Linked DNA regions of Rattus norvegicus. The protein of the gene in region 2 interacts with the protein of the main gene of each other region in a biochemical or structural test. Links are inferred from orthologs where the notes say so. Each region holds a gene or a part of one and is shown on either strand. Other genes may lie near its edges. The genes, in order: Hip1, Cltc, Arrb2 and Ocrl.

The links.
Region 1: the proteins of Cltc (region 2) and Hip1 form a complex in vitro, tested with the Homo sapiens proteins (3 studies listed by BioGRID). The link is inferred for Rattus norvegicus from reciprocal best matches to the Homo sapiens genes CLTC and HIP1.
Region 3: the proteins of Cltc (region 2) and Arrb2 form a complex in vitro, tested with the Homo sapiens proteins (3 studies listed by BioGRID and IntAct, with this or other methods). The link is inferred for Rattus norvegicus from reciprocal best matches to the Homo sapiens genes CLTC and ARRB2.
Region 4: the proteins of Cltc (region 2) and Ocrl form a complex in vitro, tested with the Homo sapiens proteins (2 studies listed by BioGRID and IntAct, with this or other methods). The link is inferred for Rattus norvegicus from reciprocal best matches to the Homo sapiens genes CLTC and OCRL.

The regions. Positions count from the first base shown.
Region 1 is NC_086030.1:26,768,485-26,772,760, reverse strand, and holds the start of Hip1 (huntingtin-interacting protein 1), read right to left. Parts: upstream 2,815-4,276; 5' UTR 2,707-2,814; coding exon 2,587-2,706; intron 2,581-2,586; exon of another isoform or gene 1-2,580. UniProt on the Homo sapiens protein: Plays a role in clathrin-mediated endocytosis and trafficking. Involved in regulating AMPA receptor trafficking in the central nervous system in an NMDA-dependent manner. Regulates presynaptic nerve terminal activity.
Region 2 is NC_086028.1:72,067,891-72,072,250, reverse strand, and holds the start of Cltc (clathrin heavy chain 1), read left to right. Parts: upstream 1-1,559; 5' UTR 1,560-1,657; coding exon 1,658-1,699; intron 1,700-4,360. UniProt on the Homo sapiens protein: Clathrin is the major protein of the polyhedral coat of coated pits and vesicles. Two different adapter protein complexes link the clathrin lattice either to the plasma membrane or to the trans-Golgi network.
Region 3 is NC_086028.1:55,644,271-55,648,454, forward strand, and holds the start of Arrb2 (beta-arrestin-2), read left to right. Parts: upstream 1-1,331; 5' UTR 1,332-1,409; coding exon 1,410-1,432; intron 1,433-4,136; exon of another isoform or gene 4,137-4,162; coding exon 4,163-4,184. UniProt on the Homo sapiens protein: Functions in regulating agonist-mediated G-protein coupled receptor (GPCR) signaling by mediating both receptor desensitization and resensitization processes.
Region 4 is NC_086039.1:131,987,923-131,991,482, reverse strand, and holds part of Ocrl (inositol polyphosphate 5-phosphatase OCRL), read right to left. Parts: intron 3,228-3,560; coding exon 3,126-3,227; intron 1,782-3,125; coding exon 1,667-1,781; intron 1-1,666. UniProt on the Homo sapiens protein: Catalyzes the hydrolysis of the 5-position phosphate of phosphatidylinositol 4,5-bisphosphate (PtdIns(4,5)P2) and phosphatidylinositol-3,4,5-bisphosphate (PtdIns(3,4,5)P3), with the greatest catalytic activity towards PtdIns(4,5)P2.

The DNA.
Region 1 (4,276 bases), on a different chromosome or scaffold from region 2:
ATTCTTTTGCAGATAGGGTCTCCCTATGTATAGGCATGGTTAGCCTGGAATCTGCTATGGAGACCACACTGGCAAGGATCCTCCTGCCTCTGCCTCCTGAGTGCTGGGATTGTCAAAGTGTCCCACCATGCCTGCCAGCTTGAGAGAATTTCAACAACTCAGTTGGATTGTGCTGCCTCATGCCAGTAATCTGAGCACTAGGGAGGCCAAGGCAGGGAGATGAAAGTTTGAGGGCCAGCCTGGTCTACATAGCTGAGTTCCAGGCTAGCCTGAGCAACACAGTAAGATCCTCACTCAAATAAAACAAAAGCAACAATAACAAAACAAACAAAAAATTAAAAAAAAAAAAACCCTCAGCACTTGGGAGGCAGAGGCAGGCAGACCATTGTGAGTCTGAGGCTAGCCTGATCTACAAAGTGAGTTCCGGGTCAGCCAGAGCTGTTATACAGAGAAACCCTATCTGTAAAAATCAAAAAGAAAAGAAAAAAAGGGGAGGGAGGAGTTTCCATAACTGAAAAACTCTGCTGTAGTATATCTCAATGCGTGTGCACACATGCACACACACACACACACACACACACACACACACACACCAAATCTGACTAATAACAAGTGTTCTACGAAGGTAAAATTAGACACTGACCTACCAGTCTTCCTGTTGAGTATTCCCTGGGTAACTAGGAAAAATGTTAGTTGTGGCTGGAAACATTTCAAATGCCTAATTTCTTTCTTTTTTTTTTTTTCTTTTCTTTTTTTTTCGGGGCTGGGGATTGAACCCAGGACCTTGTGCTTCCTAGGCAAGCGCTCTACCACTGAGCCAAATCCCCAACCCCTCAAATGCCTAATTTCTATCACTGTCTATTAATTTCAAACTTTCAAAAACACTCTTAATGTAATTTTGGGTGTGTGTGTATGGAGGGGTGTTCATGGCGCAGCTCAAAACTGAAGTCAGAGGGCAACATGGCTCCTTCCCTGGCATGAAACGCAGGTGGCCCCTTAGCCAGCTCCACTGGGCCTAAGCTCAAACTTTTGTTTTGTTTTGTCTTTGTTTTTTTGGAGCTGACGACTGAACCCAGGGCCTTGCGCTTGCTAGGCAAGCGCTCTACCACTGAGCTAAATCCCCAACCCCAAGCTCAAACTTTTATGTCTAACTTACTGCTCCAGTTTTAAGCTATCAGAGATTCTCAGACGGTTGGATGTCACAAAATAGCTCCGGCTTATTTTCCTCTTTCAGTTTAAAAATAAAAGAGGTTTGTAGCGGGGAGAAGATGAAAACTTTCTTTTTCCTTTTGGCAGCAATGCCCAAAGTTCAGAAGATCTGAGAAATTAAAAAAGTTCCAAAAACCCTTAGACATTGAGAGGTAAGTGAATGCCGGTTCTCCTCCTCCCCGGGTACAACTACCCCTTTTTTCCCCCAGACACAAGAAGTGGATCCAGGGGTCTCAGAAACAAGAGGTGGATTAAAGTCCCCTGGGGTGAAAAGGCTGTCTTCCGTGCACCGTCCATTTATAGAACTCACGGGCTCTCCTATCTCTTCCACCTTTTCTACTCACAGAACACCACAGGGGAGCTGCCTCTGGCTGAAGTCAACTCGATCTTCAAAGTAGAACTTGGAGAGCCAGAGGAGAACAAGAAATCTACGGGCCCAGCTTCCGCAGTGGGATCCGAAGGGTTGTACTCTCAGATTTTACATACAGATGAATTGGTAACTACACACCCAGCGCCTCACTACTTGACTCGGTCCGATCGATACAGCATGCATAAAAGCTTGAGATAAAAGTGGATAGTGGCTTTTTGTTGATAACCGCGGTGGAATTTTGGCCATCTGCCCTGGTCAGACCAGACAAGGCAGGCGGTCTGCTTAGTAGCTGTCAGGCATATTTTGGAGGGTGAAAGGAAAACCGCAAATCAGGATTCTATGTATCACTGGAGAGCTTAACCCGACACGCGAGGGTCTGACAGTCCAAGCGTCGCAATTCCTACACGCGTCCCCATTTCTCCAAACCCCCGGGGGTCATTTTCCAAGTTGGACCACACTTCACATTTCCTACGGTCCCTCCCATCACTCAGACCCCTTTGGCGCAGCCTCTGAGGCCAACAGCTGGGGCTGCTGAGAGCCAAGTTAGAGGCACCGTTGAACGAGATGCTGGGGAATGAAGGAAGAAGTCAATACTAAAGTAAAGCGATCAGAGCCACCCTTTACACCTCTACGTTGGTGTCCCCACACTTGCAAAAACCGAGTGACTTCCAAGTGCTTCCCCTACCCAGGAGCACCCCTTCCATCAGTCCCTTTTCGACTCCCTTTGGCCTCCCTTGTGACCTCTGATGGTGCTCGCCGAGGCTATTCTCTCAGTTGCAGGAATCTGCAGTTCCCCGGAGTACACCCCGACCCCCGTGCCAGTAGGGATGCCCAGGTCCCGGACCTCCCTGGGACCCGCCTAGTTCCGCACCCCAAAATGATTCTGATCGCAGCCACCTTGCCTAATTCCCTCCCGGGACTGCAAGACTCACTCCGTTCCAAGCCTCTCTAGCACCCTGCATCACTCCAGGTGCCCCCAGGGATGCCCCAGGGTTCTCGAATCTCACCTGAGTCCGCTCGAAGCTCTCGCGCTCCGCAGCCTCCATCCCAGCACCAACCCCGCGCCGGCTCAACACTTTGGGCAGCGGGTTGGGTACCTGCTTCATGGAGCTGGCCATCCGGTCCATGTTGTCTGGGTGAACAGAGTCAGGGGCCCTCGGCCGCCCCGGGATCCCCGCGGCGCCTCCCGCCCCTCCCTACCCGCGGGGATCCGGCGCTAACGGGGACAGATTACGTCTTCCATTGGTTGACAGCGCTGTCCATCTCCCTCAGGACCCACCCCATCTCTCCAAGAGGCTTTTCCCCACATCCCTTTTCCCACTTCGGAGGCGCTCCGCTCACTTCACCGGCTGGCCCGCCTCAGAGCGGTCGGCATGCTATGACTGGTCTGAAGGTTTGTCCGTTAACTTCTGTGGGCAGGACCTGGTGGGCTCTTGCTCCCTCCCCGAGGCTCCGCCCCATGATCGATACACCGCCTTCCAGGCCTAGAAATGCACTGTCATTGGTCTGAAGAGTTATCTGTCAACACAGCAGGGCTGGCTTCGTGAGCTGCCCTCACCATTTTTTTGCTGCTCCACCCTACATCCGTCACTCCTCCTTTGTTCCCACCCTACAGGACCAAAAGAGCACCATGATTGCTCTGAAGGCTTGTCCGTCATCTTAATGGGGCAGGGCCTGGCTGCTACAGACCAGCCCTTGAGACTCCACCCTATCTCGAAGCGCCACCTCCTGGGCCCTTCTCTGCTGCGGGTTGCTGAGCTCGAAGAGCTGCCGTCCAGCCGGCGCCACGAGTTCCCGAGGGGGACGGAAAGGCAGATCAAGGGAAGCATGGCTGCACCGCTTTCACCAGGCTTGCCGGGGAACTCCGCATCAGTGTGGTCCGGCGATGGCGGCCTTAGTGGCTCTCGAAGTCTCCTCCCCGTGCATTCCTATCTGCCAGTTCTGGAGGATCGCCGACCCGGGTCCCCAAGTACTGGACTTTGACTGCGGGTATCTCCCCAGAGCTTTCCCTTACCTTGGTAGAAACCCCAACAGATGCTCCTTGTTTATCTATAGCAGGGTCCACTCCTCCCATCCTGTTCTGGGAGCATCTACAGACTGGGACGTGTGCTCCTCAGCAAAGAAAATGTTACACGTTCTCTACTAACAGAACCAGTGGCACCGTTAAGAATTTAAAAAAATTGATGATGCTATTCATCTATCTGTTCAAGAACCCAGTACACGTCTCACTTGTACTAGGCAATGTTTTGATTAATGAATGACAGCATCAAACTCATTATATAGCCGAGTCCCTCGAATCTCCGTGGACCACGATGCTTGGCTTTTGTTAATGTGTGTGAATTATGTACCTGTGTGTATGTGTGGGACTGTGCTCACGCGGCAGTGCACCTGTGGAGGTCAGAAAGCAAACAAGATTCTGTTCCCTACCATGTGGATCCCAGAGAGCTGACGTGGGTCGTAGGCTTAGTAGCAACTTACCTGAGCGATCACACCAGTGGGACGCTTTAAAGACAGTGTTCCAAGACAGGTGGTGGCGGCCCACAGCTTTAGTCACAACACTCAGGAGGCAGAGGCAGATGGATCCCTGAGTTCAAGGCCAGCCTGGTCTATAGACTGAGTTCCGGGACAGCCAGTACTCTGTGTGTGTGTGTGTGTGTGTGTGTGTGTGTGTGTGTGTGTGTGTGTGTGTGTGTTTAA
Region 2 (4,360 bases):
GAAATTATACAAACACAAAGCATCCTAAATATGGTGGCAAGGCTCTTCTTCACAACGGGGGGCTGACTGCCTTCTCACTTGCCTGTTTCTCTCAGCCCAGGTATGAAAGGCAGTATTTGGAGAAACACTAAAAGCAACTAAAATGACTAAGCAGATTTCTGTAAGCAAAACCGCTTACACAAAATTATTGTATACCCAGTGGTGTCTTATGTTCTTTAGGTGAAAGGGGCATTGAAAATAACTTTCTCAAGAACTTTCAGGGGAATTAAGATGAAATATGAGGAATTGAATTCTCTAAATCATCCTTATTGGTGCTATTGTGAAACATTACACCTTACACTTTAGCAAGAGCTCTGGAGCGGCTATGAATCGCTAATGAATGCTGCAGATACCTTAGTGCTGTAGTCAGGCAAGGTGCTCCGGTTTTGAAGAGCTTACACTGCCCACTTTGCTACTACAGGCAATGATCCTACTAACGTGTATGACCAACAGTCAATCCCTCCGCTCCAAGAAAGCCCTCGAGGTTTCTTTCACCATCCATCCTTTGATCTAAACCTTTAAAGATTTTCAGGTTGCCGAACACTCCCAACTCTCAAAGGCCAAACTAATCTCTACATTAGGCTGGTGTAAGTCCACCAAAATGTCCGCGGAAGCTCTCTCCAGGGCCAGCAGGAGACACTTCTCACATGGCCTTCACTGTCCTTTGAGATGGTTTATCTGAGGCACTCGAGAGCCATCCGGCTCTCCTGGCGTCAGAAGGGCGTGCGTCAGGGCAGGGAGGCTTGCAGCTCAGCACGATCCCCCCTCCCTGAGGTGTCAGCAACCACCCACTGCGTGAAACCGGGCGGGGGAGGCGCGCCGCAGTCAGCCGCCCAAAGAGCGCTGCGGCGGGGCCGTTTTCCCTTAGTCACCGCGGCGCCGACGCCGCGGCCTTCTCCTCAGGCACTCGGTGTCCTCACGCCCCGGTCGCCACGCCGGCAGGGGGCTCAACGGCCACCTCAACCCCAGGAGCAGCGGCCAGTCCCTAACTCTCGCCCTCCACTCTGGCAGCCGTCAACCGACCCTTCCCTACCCGCATCACGTGCACCTGGAAGTGCGTGGGTGGGTCCTACAGCGCCTACGGAAATGACGTAGTTCGCCCCGAGTCGCATGATGTGGCAAAATGTTAAAAAAAAAAAAAAGGTGGGGGGGAGGGGAGGAGGGAGAAACCGGAGCCTGGGGAAAGTGATGAGTCTAGAAAAAGTAGTCCCTCGGTTCCTCTGTTTCCCCGCTGCCGCATCAGCGAAGAGCGATCCGCGCACTGCGTCCCTGAATTCCTACGCCTGTCCGCTGCACGGGGTTCGTGGAAGGCTACATAAGGCGGACAGGGTGAGGAGGCTGGGCGGAGTTCTGCCCCGGGATCCTTCCGCAGGGCTCAGCCGTTTCCGGAGTCTGCGCTGCTCCCGGTTCCGCCATTGCGGCTCTCCCGGCCCTTGGAGCCTCCGCCCCCGACCCAAGCTCTCTCGTCTGCCTGCCAGTTCCCTACGTCCCCGGAGAGTATTCCTCTGAGCCCAACCTCCCCCTCCCTTCCCCTTCTCCTCCTCTCCCTTGGAGAGCCCGGGCAGGCACTGCCCTGCAGCCCCAGTGACAGGAGGAGACCATACTCCCCGACAGCGCCATGGCCCAGATTCTGCCAATTCGCTTTCAGGAGCATCTCCAGGTGCGTGTTAGTCGGGGCTGCTGAGGGACTTTTCGAGGGTATTGGGAAGGAAGCTAGCGGCCCGGCCCGAAGGGGATCGAGAGAACGGGAGTGGGGGGGTGTCGGTATTTGGCATTGATGGAGGAAGGACACTGTCTTAAAAGCTTAAAGGGTTAAACGATATGAGACTAGGATGGAAATGACGAATCGGAGTGCAAAGGGCGGCGAGGCCAGGCCTTACGTCTGACGGCCTCTTATTTCTGCTTCCTGGATTGCAAGAACTGCGCATACCAGACCCCCCTTCCCATTTTACTCAGTTCATTCATTTGGGTAGGGGCTAGGTGGGGGAGCTTCTCGCGCGTTTCTCCCAGAGCAAGAATTCTCGTTAACTCCGGGCGATGCAGGGCTGTCACCTTCCCTTGGTCTATTCCGATTTCCACATCGAGTCTGCACCCAGGAATTGTGTGGCGGGTGGGTTGGGGAGGAGCTGCATCTTCGCTCTGCAGCTCACAGCTGAGAAAGGCACCTTGGGGTTAGGGTAGCAGTGGCTTGTGTCTTGCCTTCCCTGAATCTGTAAAGAACCGAAGGTCACACTCACTGAAGGAACAGAAAGAAGATAGAGGGGCGGCTAGGGGCGGTGTCAGTCTCAGGGTGCCTGGGGTCAAGGTCCCAAGGGGAACGCGCATATTTTTCCTTTCTTGGTTTCTTCAAGGGTTAGTGTAGTTCTAAGACTCACTTTGATTCTTGTAGGTAGGGAGAGTTATTTAGAGGTTATTTATGGTCTTTTGGAATCTAGCAGGTAGTTGTGGGATTAAGGCAGGAGTATGTCTCACAGGACTGTGTGGAATTCAACAGAGCCTGGAGTGCTGTAAATGCATACCTGCTCTGAGACAGTACCTGACAAGTTGATCTATAACTGGCTTCTTTTTAATAGGCTGGGGTGCCCCCCTCCCCCCACTGCACCTTATCCTGGAGTCAATACACCATTGTCTAACCTGGCACCATGCCAGCAGTTGGCCTAGGCAGGTGACCATTGGAGGGCTTCGCTGAATTAAGCTTCTTCTGAACTGCTGCTTTTCCTGGTTCTCTTGTCCTGACTCTTTAACATCATAATTTATTCATAATAATTTACTTCCCCCCAAATATCCCCATAAAGAAATCTGCTTTCAGCTTCATCTTTTGAAGGGCTAATTTCATGAGGGAAGGTGTAACGATCCAGTTCAAATATTGGTAACTTATTGAGTGCTTTATCATTGAAGGCAATCTGATTTACTGTTCTCCGTTGATACACGTAAAAGATGTTTGATAATAAACAGGGTTAACTAAAATTCAGCTACAAGTAAAATAATTAAATATTTCTTTATAGACTTTTACCGTGTTGCTTACATTAAAAAATTATTTTACTTTAGGACTTTAAATGTAAATGATAATAGACCTTTGCCCATAAAATGAGCTAAATACACTTTCTTCAGTCATCACTAGTTTTCAAATAATTCACCTGATTTTGGCAATAAGATCTCTATTTTGCAAAAGTCTGAAAAATGTCAAGTGACAATCCTGACAGAGAAGTTAATTTTGTCCTCAATTCAAGCTTGTTTGAGTTTCCTCTGTTAAGAAAATAAAGAGTTAGGAAGGCACTGTTCTGGATGCTAGCGGACAGTGTGCTGACCTCTTCAAGCTGAGCTAAGAGGGAGGCAGCCTGTGTACATTAACGAAAAAAAAAAAACTAGCTTTAATTAATTGCTTGCTTTAATTAATTTGGCCATGAATTGGATTGCTGTTTTCTCTCCTCCCATCTTTGGAATTAACCCTTGTCCACACTGAAGTTTATCAGAAATAGCCTTCTGCAAATATGTATATAAACCATATTCAAGAGAAGCAAAGACAGCTGCTGATCACATGATCATTGTTGATTTGAGTAATAGTGTTTCATTTCTGTTAAACACGAGACCAGAATTGTTGAATGGTCTACAGACTGGAATCCAAACTTGTCACTAATTAAAAACAAATTTAATGCAGGTGTGGCATGTGAGTAACAATTTCTGCAAATACTTGAAACTGTTTTCCTAAATTTGGAGATTTTGAATATTTATAAAATAGCTTTACAAGTGTTCTTGAAGATCTCTGTCTGTTCTTTGGAGGACCATGTTACACTTTAAGCTTTGGCTGGTAGGATTCCACTCCAGTAGATGGTGATCAGTTTCGTCAAAAGGGCAAATCACCATCTTTTCCAAGATAATGTATTCTCCTGATCTCAGATTTTTCCCCCCTCGGAGCTGGGGACCGAACCCAGGGCCTTGCGCTTGCTAGGCAAGTGCTCTACCACTGAGCTAAATCTCCAACCCCCTGATCTCAGATTTTTATCCCTCTCTTAACACTTCAGTGTAAGGAGTGTTTCAGTTGTCATCTTAAGTCTTTGATTTCCAAGCCTCTGCCATTCTGCTTAGAAAACAACTTTTAAAACGCTTAGGAGAAGAACTGGAAAATGAGGAACTAGAGAGTGTAGAGTTCACTTGTGAAAGTTAACAGCAAACTCTACATTTTTTTTAAGCTTTTTATGAGAGTGTTGCAAATAAAAAATTGCTATTTATTTTCATATCCCTTTGTACGTGTTTAGATAAAGATCTGTCATCAAGGCTTGGAACTACATCACATAATTTTAATATTTTATGTGATGAAGGA
Region 3 (4,184 bases), about 16 Mb from region 2:
CAATGAACCTCTAATATGGCCCCTCTGCTCCCCTCCACTCTCTGTTCATCATTTTCCCTCGGCTAGCTTATCTTCTAGCGAGCGGTCTCGCTATGCGACACGTTACCCAAAAAGAGAAGTCCTATCTCGACATTCCTCTGGTGAAAGCAAAACCCAATCAAATCAGCACTGGGCTGGAATTAGTGGTGAGCTAAGCATATGTGAGGCCCTAGCAGAAAATTAAATTAAATTAAATTAAATAAAGACTACAGTTCCTCGGGCTCTTTCTTTCACCTGCTATACACAGTCTTCCACCGTCTCTTCTATTCCTCCGCAGCTCTACCTCCTGCCATCTAACCCACAGACATTTTAGAACAGGGCGTGCTTTTCCTTACTCATCTTTAGGATGTCCTTTCCCCACTTCTGTCCATCCTTCAGAAGGGCTGTCCTCAAATTTCCTATGCTATGGAGTGACTGCACTCCCTCCTCCACGCTGGCCAAGCGCTTTTAGGCTTTTAGTTGCTTGATGGTCTGAGTCATATCTATTATAGCGTTCCTGGGAGCATAATACCTGTTTTATATGTCTCACGGATCCCAGGAAACTTAGGCCATGATGTTGTCCCGATGGCTCTGCACAGTGACTTACACAAAATAGGCAGGGAGGGAAGGATGAAGAATGGAAGAGATAAGTGGAGTAGGTGAATGATGGCTAGGATAGACGGTAAGGGAGATGACAAAGTCTGAATGTTTTAAAGTGACACTGCAAAAAAAAAAAAAAAAAATCAAAGACAATACACCAGGGGGAGCTGAAGACCACGAGAACGCGGGAAAGGTAGGCCAAACAAGGCTGCAAGCTCAGGGATGAGCAGCGCATACCAAAGCAAGCATCATCACGCAACAGATACGGCTCACCCACGTGGGCAGCCCCTTGGTGCTCAGACCCAGACAGTGTTTGAGCTCATTCCCACCGCCCCCTCGATCCCGTCCCTCCTCCGCTACAGTGAAAGCAAACAAAGGGGAGGGATCCCTGCAGGGCTATGGATACCAACGGCCAATCAGCTGCTTCTAAACTTCTCGAAGGCGGCCGCCTCCATTTTAAGGGGCCCAATCTAGTTCCAAAGGCTTGAGGAGGGGCGGGGAGATCGAGAGTAGGGACGGCGCGAGGAGGCTTCCCCGAGGGAGACTGAGGGCGGAGGCGTGGGGCGGAGCCAGCTCGAAGAGGGCGGGCTGCGCCGCGGCGCGCGGGCTCCGGCTGACGCAGCTGGCCCCAGCTCCCCTAGACCCAGACCGCGAGGGGAGGGGAAGGAGGAGAAAGAGTGAGGACGCGCGTGCGCAGTGACTCGGGGAGGAGTGGGGACCTGGCAGCGGGTGAGAAGGCTGCGAGCGAGCCGCGAACCCGGCGGGTGGAGGGCGGCGAGCGCGCGCGCACCATGGGTGAAAAACCCGGGACCAGGTAAGGGAGGTGGGGCCGTGCCGCGGGGCATGGGCGGCTGCTCGCGGAGTGTGCCAGGTTGATCCACAGACAAGGACACCGGGGAAGAAACCCCGGGGCCGGACGCCTGGGTCCCTAGAGGGTAGCTGTCCGGGGCCGCAAGCCTAGGTCCTTGAGGATATTGGAGTGGGGGTGCGTGCTGGGGCTCCTGCAAAAAGCAAGACTTGATAGAGATCGGGAAACCCACGCCTGGGTTCTCACAGAGATGTAGGAGTCGGACTACTGGGTTCTCTGCAGGCTGTGATGCAGGGGCGGAGGAAGGAGGAGCAGGTGGCCGGCCCCGAGGGGTTGTGTGCTGGGAGACTGGATGCTGGGAAGGGATTCCCCTAGACTCGTGCCCAACCAATGGAAAGCCTCCTGCCCAATACCCCACAGTCTGATTGCTCCCACCTGTCCCAAGGGTCGGATAGCTCTGCTACCAAACTTCTGCCTTCTCCTAGGTTGCTAGGAGCAACAGCTTCTTGAGAGAGTAGAGTGCATAGGGACCCTCGCTGAAATTGGGCTTTATTCCTGTCCTGGGGAGAGAGAGAGGTAGTATCTGCCCTGGACACACATCCTCTCCCCGGATGTTTTCTGTGCAATCGAGGCTCCTTCCTTCCACTGATACCAGAGTTCTCTTTTTTGGTCTATAGCAAAATCCACTTCCTGTTGTGACCCAACACCCCCAGGAGGACATGGGGTGAATACTTGAGTTCCAAAGGAGCAAGAACTAAATAATAGGTTGGGGCCATGTGCCTCAAGCCAGAGAGGACCAAGGATAAGGGCCTGATTATGAACAGTGACTTCTGCAAAACATGAGACCAACCCCACCACTCCCACTGCCCTTAAGTATTAAGAAGACCAATATCTGAGAGAGATGCTTACAGGGAAGATTGACCTCCTAGATTTGAGGTTAAACTAAACCCCAGAGAAAGGAGAAGTCACTTACTTGGGGGGGAGGCCCCCAAATTTCCGTTGAGTACTTCAGGGAGGGAATAGATGGACCAAAGAAAGACTGCTGACTTGGCATAATTCCCTACCATCTCATCAAATTCTGGGCCAGAGGAAATGGCGAGAATGGCAGGAAGTACAAAGAGGCATCTGCTTTAGCTGCACCCCTCCAAGCTGGGTACCTCCCTGGTAATTCCCTTGCTCTGCCTTCTTGGCCAAGCACACTGTGCACGCTGCGCCCTCCCTAACCATGGCTGGGTAAGAGCAGGGCAACTGACGGAGATACAATGATTGTGTGGTCGTCACAGGTTCTGCCAGGGCTCCCAGTGGGGGAAAATACAAGACAGGAGGAAACCAGAAGTAGGAGAAAGAGCCAACCTAGGTGATGTCCAAGCTGTCAGCCCTAATTGGGACAGAAATTAGAGTGATTATTCTAACCGCCACCATGTCCAAATGTGCCTTTATTACTTGGGGATACTTAGGGCAGCCTATGTATATGCCATGTGACCCTAAGTGTGTGTGGCCCAGTGATGTATGGGCAGCTTGGCTTTGGGGAAGGAGGAGACAAGTGGTTTTTCCAAGCAGAAACTCACATAGTGTGTTGAAGGGAGGATGGAACTCTGGGCAGTTTTCAGCCTGTTATCTGGGGGCCCTTTCAGGAATTGCTCCGGAGCCAAAAGGCCTTAGAAGGGGTAGAGTTGTTCTTGGAAGAACAAGCCAAGGAATGGCCAGAGCTCTGGGGTCACTAGACAGTTTCCTATCCTCCTAGCCGTGGGTGGAGTCTAGACTTAGGTTGTTCTAGTGTCTGTACAGAAAAATCCCCTTAGACTTGACAAACTGTGACAGGCGAGCTTCACGACTTAGTGGTTGAGAACAGGGTCTTGAAACCAGGGTGCCTTCCTCAGGTTTATATCCGAGTCCCACCCTGTACCTTCTCTGTGACCTTTGACAAAATTCTTGTTTGCCGTAAAGCCGGGGTCTTTTAGCCTCTGTCACTGGGCGATAAGAGCTGTAAACGCAGTTGGTACAGTGCTAGAACACAGCAGTCACCAGTCAATGTTAGCCAGAATCACCATGTTTGTCACAGGATGCTACTGTGTGGGGACCACAGTGGGTTTTTTTGTTTTTGTTTTTTTTTAAGCTGCTGAGGTCAGAAACGGGGCTGTTGGAGGTTCATGAAATAGTCAGACTTGGGGACAGAAACATCTGAGGGGCAAAGACTCTGCTCCAGGAGTCACTGTGTGAGTCCTTGAAGCTAGAGGTCAGTTAAAGAGTTCATCTGAGTGTGGTAGTTCGTGCCCCTTCATCCTAGCACCAAAGAGACAGAGGTAAATGGATCTGAGTTGGGGCCAGCCTGGTCTACAAGTCAAGTTCCAGGCTAGCCAGAGTTACATACTAAGGCCAAGGTCAAAAGGGAGGGAGGAGTGTTAGGTGTGACCCAGACATTGTGTAGCCATCAGTTGACTCTTGGTTTCGGAGAGGGTCCCTCAGGAGAGCCTGAATAGTTGGCTGGGGCAAACAGTGGCCATTTACTATAAGCGGAGGAGTGAGTTAGTAACATCAACAGCAAAGAGGAAAGGCCTGACAGTTGGCTTCAAGAGGCTTCAAATACCGGTGGGAAGCAGTAAAAAAAAGCAGTGGGAAGGGTCGAGCAGGGATCCAGGGTGAATTCCATTTCTCTGGGGGGAGGGATAAATCCCGGCGTGGTGGTCCCTGCCCAGCCTAAGGGAGGCAGTGGGGTCTTCCTTTCTGTTTTGTTAGGGTCTTCAAGAAGTCGAGCCCT
Region 4 (3,560 bases), on a different chromosome or scaffold from region 2:
CAGAGAGTTACTAAGGGCTAAAATAAGCATCACTCTCTGCTACATAGCTAACTTCCTAGGATGTCCAATGAGATGATTACTAATGTTCAAATCTAGATCTGCATCCTCTAATTTCCAATCAGACCCCATAAATTGGAAACTAAGATTCTCTGTGGAAGCTCTAGTCTGGCTTTGATTAATAAGAGTTAAAAGCCTTGAGGGACAGTGCATAAGTCTGTTTCTCTCTCTCTTTCTCTGTCTCTCTGTGAGTGTATGTGTCTGTCTTTCTGTGTCTGTCTGCCTCTCTCTGTGTATGCCTCTGTCTCTCTGCTTCTATTTATCAGTGCTGAGGGTCAAATGGAGAACGCTGAGCATGTCATGCAGCTATCTCCCACTGAGCCATACCCATCACTCTGTAGCCCGTTGAGAGCATATTAAAAGTTCAAATGGTCACTACGTAAACTGTTCAAAACCATAGATGACTTTGTTTGAGTTTGGGACAGTAGTCTTTTTCTTTTCCAAATCAGAAATACATTTAATCCAGCTCTATCCAAATTATACAGTTCTTCACAGATCCACACTTAATTTACATGATCAAGACTGAATTTTAATGGTTCAACAAGCAGCATAGAAAATGGCATGCTGTGTTTTTTCTTTTTCCTTTCTTTTTATTGGTTAGAGTTATTTGTTTTCTTTCTTTTTTTCCCCCTCCATCTTTATTGAGTATTTCTTATTTACATTTCAATTGTTATTCCCTTTCCTGGTTTCCAGGTCAACATCCCCCTAACCCCTCCCCTTCCTTATGGGTGTTCCCCTCCCCACCCTCCCCCCATTGCCGCCCTCCCCCCAACAATCTAGTTCACTGGGGGTTCAGTCTTAGCAGGACCCAGGGCTTCCCCTTCCACTGGTGCTCTTACTAGGATATTCATTGCTACCTATGAGGTCAGAGTCCAGGGTCAGTCCCTGTAGTCTTTGGGTAGTGGCTTAGTCCCTGGAAGCTCTGGTTGCTTGGCATTGTTGTTCATATGGGGTGGGACAGTAGTCTTAAGATGAACATAACTCCTAGTAGCTAAATGCTCCTAGCAGATATCTTCTAAAGACTAACAAATTGGACCACTTTGCTCAAGTCAATTCTTGACTGACAAAGAAGTTCAGAATGTGCTTAAATCCCACAATACTGCTATTCTTGTTCTGAATTGAAAGCATCCTCTCTGCGCCCCATATACTTCATACTGCTCTTCTTTTTTTTTTTCTTTTCTTTTTTTGGAGCTGGGGATCGAACCCAGGGCCTTGCGCTTGCTAGGCAAGCGCTCTGCCACTGAGCTAAATCCCCAACCCCCATACTGCTCTTTTTGTAGGCATTTCATTCTGGCCATGTTGGAGGACAATCTTATATATTTTTACACAGACAGATCAGTTAGCTTATATGTAACTATTTGGATTATTAATGTAAAAGCAATATATTGATTTATTCTAAAAAACTAAATGATGAAAATGTATGATCAGAAAGCTTACGAATTTTTTCTCAGAAGTAACTCCAGTAGATTAGTCTCATATGGCGCACGCAGTATTTCATACGGGGAAGAAGTCAATTATTTAAGCCTTTTGGAAGAGGTTCAGTTAATGGATGACTCCCAGTGAGTTCTACTTAATCATCTGCTAAAAGCGAGAACCCAGCGCAGCTTACCTTTTTATACTTGGCCTTCGAAGGCAGACCCCTTTCCACAGCCATGGCCCATTCTTGCTCTTTTACAGACTCAAAGTAGAAAAAGGCTTCTGTGCTCAAGTCCAGCTCTTGGAATCTGAGGGGAAAAGAGATGCAGGCACTATACACAGCCACAACTTTCCTTAGCTACATCCTTTCCCATTTGCTGAGACATTAGAGTAAAGAAAAAAAAGAGTATGAGATAAATTTTACAAAAGGCACATAGATTTTCTAGAGAATCCCCACCAGTACATTCATAGGTTATACAAAAACTGAACAATATCAAAACTCTCATAGTGAAACTTGTCTTTTACAACCTTTGAATAATCACTTTGAGAATTGATCTCATCCGTTTCTACGATGAGTGGTTCCCTGTTAACGGTTTCATTCATGTTTTCTTTTGACCCACAAATTAACCCTCACATATAGTGCACAGCAAGATTTCTTTTATCAATCAAGCTTTAGAAAAAATATGAAGCTCAAGGCTGGGGAAATGTTCCAGTCAGTAAAGTGCTTGCTGTACAAGTGTGAGGATGTGAGTTCAAACCTCAGCATCCATGCAGAGAAGCTGTCTGTGCAGGCATGTGTCTGTAATGCCCACACTGGGGAGGAAGCCAGGGGAGGAGCTATCTCTAGGCAAACTCCTGGTTCAATGAGAGACCCCATCTAAAAAAATAAGGTAGATAAAGCTTTTATCATAGAAGTAGGTGGCAGCTACAGGAGGGACTCATAACTCGCCAAAGTGCTAAGAATTCATGATGGCAGAGGGCTCTGCCACTATGGGACATTTACATCACACAATCCAAGGCTCAGGGACACTGGAAAGAGGGTGTGGCAAGAATGTAAGAGTCAGAAGATGGGGACATGTACAGCAAAAGGACATCACGTGGATGACATCACCATGGTTCCCCTCAACTCAGTACAGCTGTGGTTGTCTAAGTCCTGCACAGATTGGGCCCGTCATCATTTCATCATGAATGGGGGAGGGGCCCATGAGGCCCTACCCCTTTTTAAGGGACAGTGGGCAGTTAACCGTTGCTGGTGGAAGGGGTATCACTTTCTTTGGTGGGAAAGCCACCGATGAGTTGCTCTAGTAAATAACATCCCATCCATGTTCACAAAAGAAACTCCAACTAAACACAGTGGGTTGTACATATAAAGAAGACATGAGTGTAGGAGGGAGTTTTTTGAGAAGAAGGTAACAGGGGTGCAAACAACTAAAATTAATCATATATGTATAAGTTAAATGTTTAAAGAATTAAAGAAATGGAAAGGAAATAAGATGGAGAGTGATTGAGCAAGACACCTGATAACCTGTGGGGTCACATGCACACACCCACATGTGTACACACACAAACACACACACAGATGAGAGGGGGGCCACAGTCAGGTTACGGTAACACCAAATATAGGAAAAGGAAGGTCCAGAAGCGCTCCTTACCCAATGCAGTAAATATCAGGAGGATTTGGATCACAGTTCAGCCAAGGTTCTAAGCTGCTGTCTGGAGACTGGCCATTCACATTCCAAGTTCCAACAAAAAATCTAATAACATTACAGCAAAAAAGATAATTCAAAAACAAAGATCAAGTTGAAACAAACACAATGTTGCTTTTATCACTTTTATGAATGGGTATTTTGATTAACATAACTTTTAAAAGTGTTTTGCCAGATACCTAACAAAAGAACTCTTGGAAGCCAGGACTCCAGATACATATGTAGCAGAGGATGGACTTTTCTGACATCAATGGGAGGGGAGGGACGCTTGATGCCCCAGTGGGGATGCTAGAGCGGTGAGTGGGTGGAGGAGCACCCTCATTGAGGGAAAGGGGAGGAGGGTGAGAACGGATGGGAAGGGGGGATTGGTAGAGGGATAAC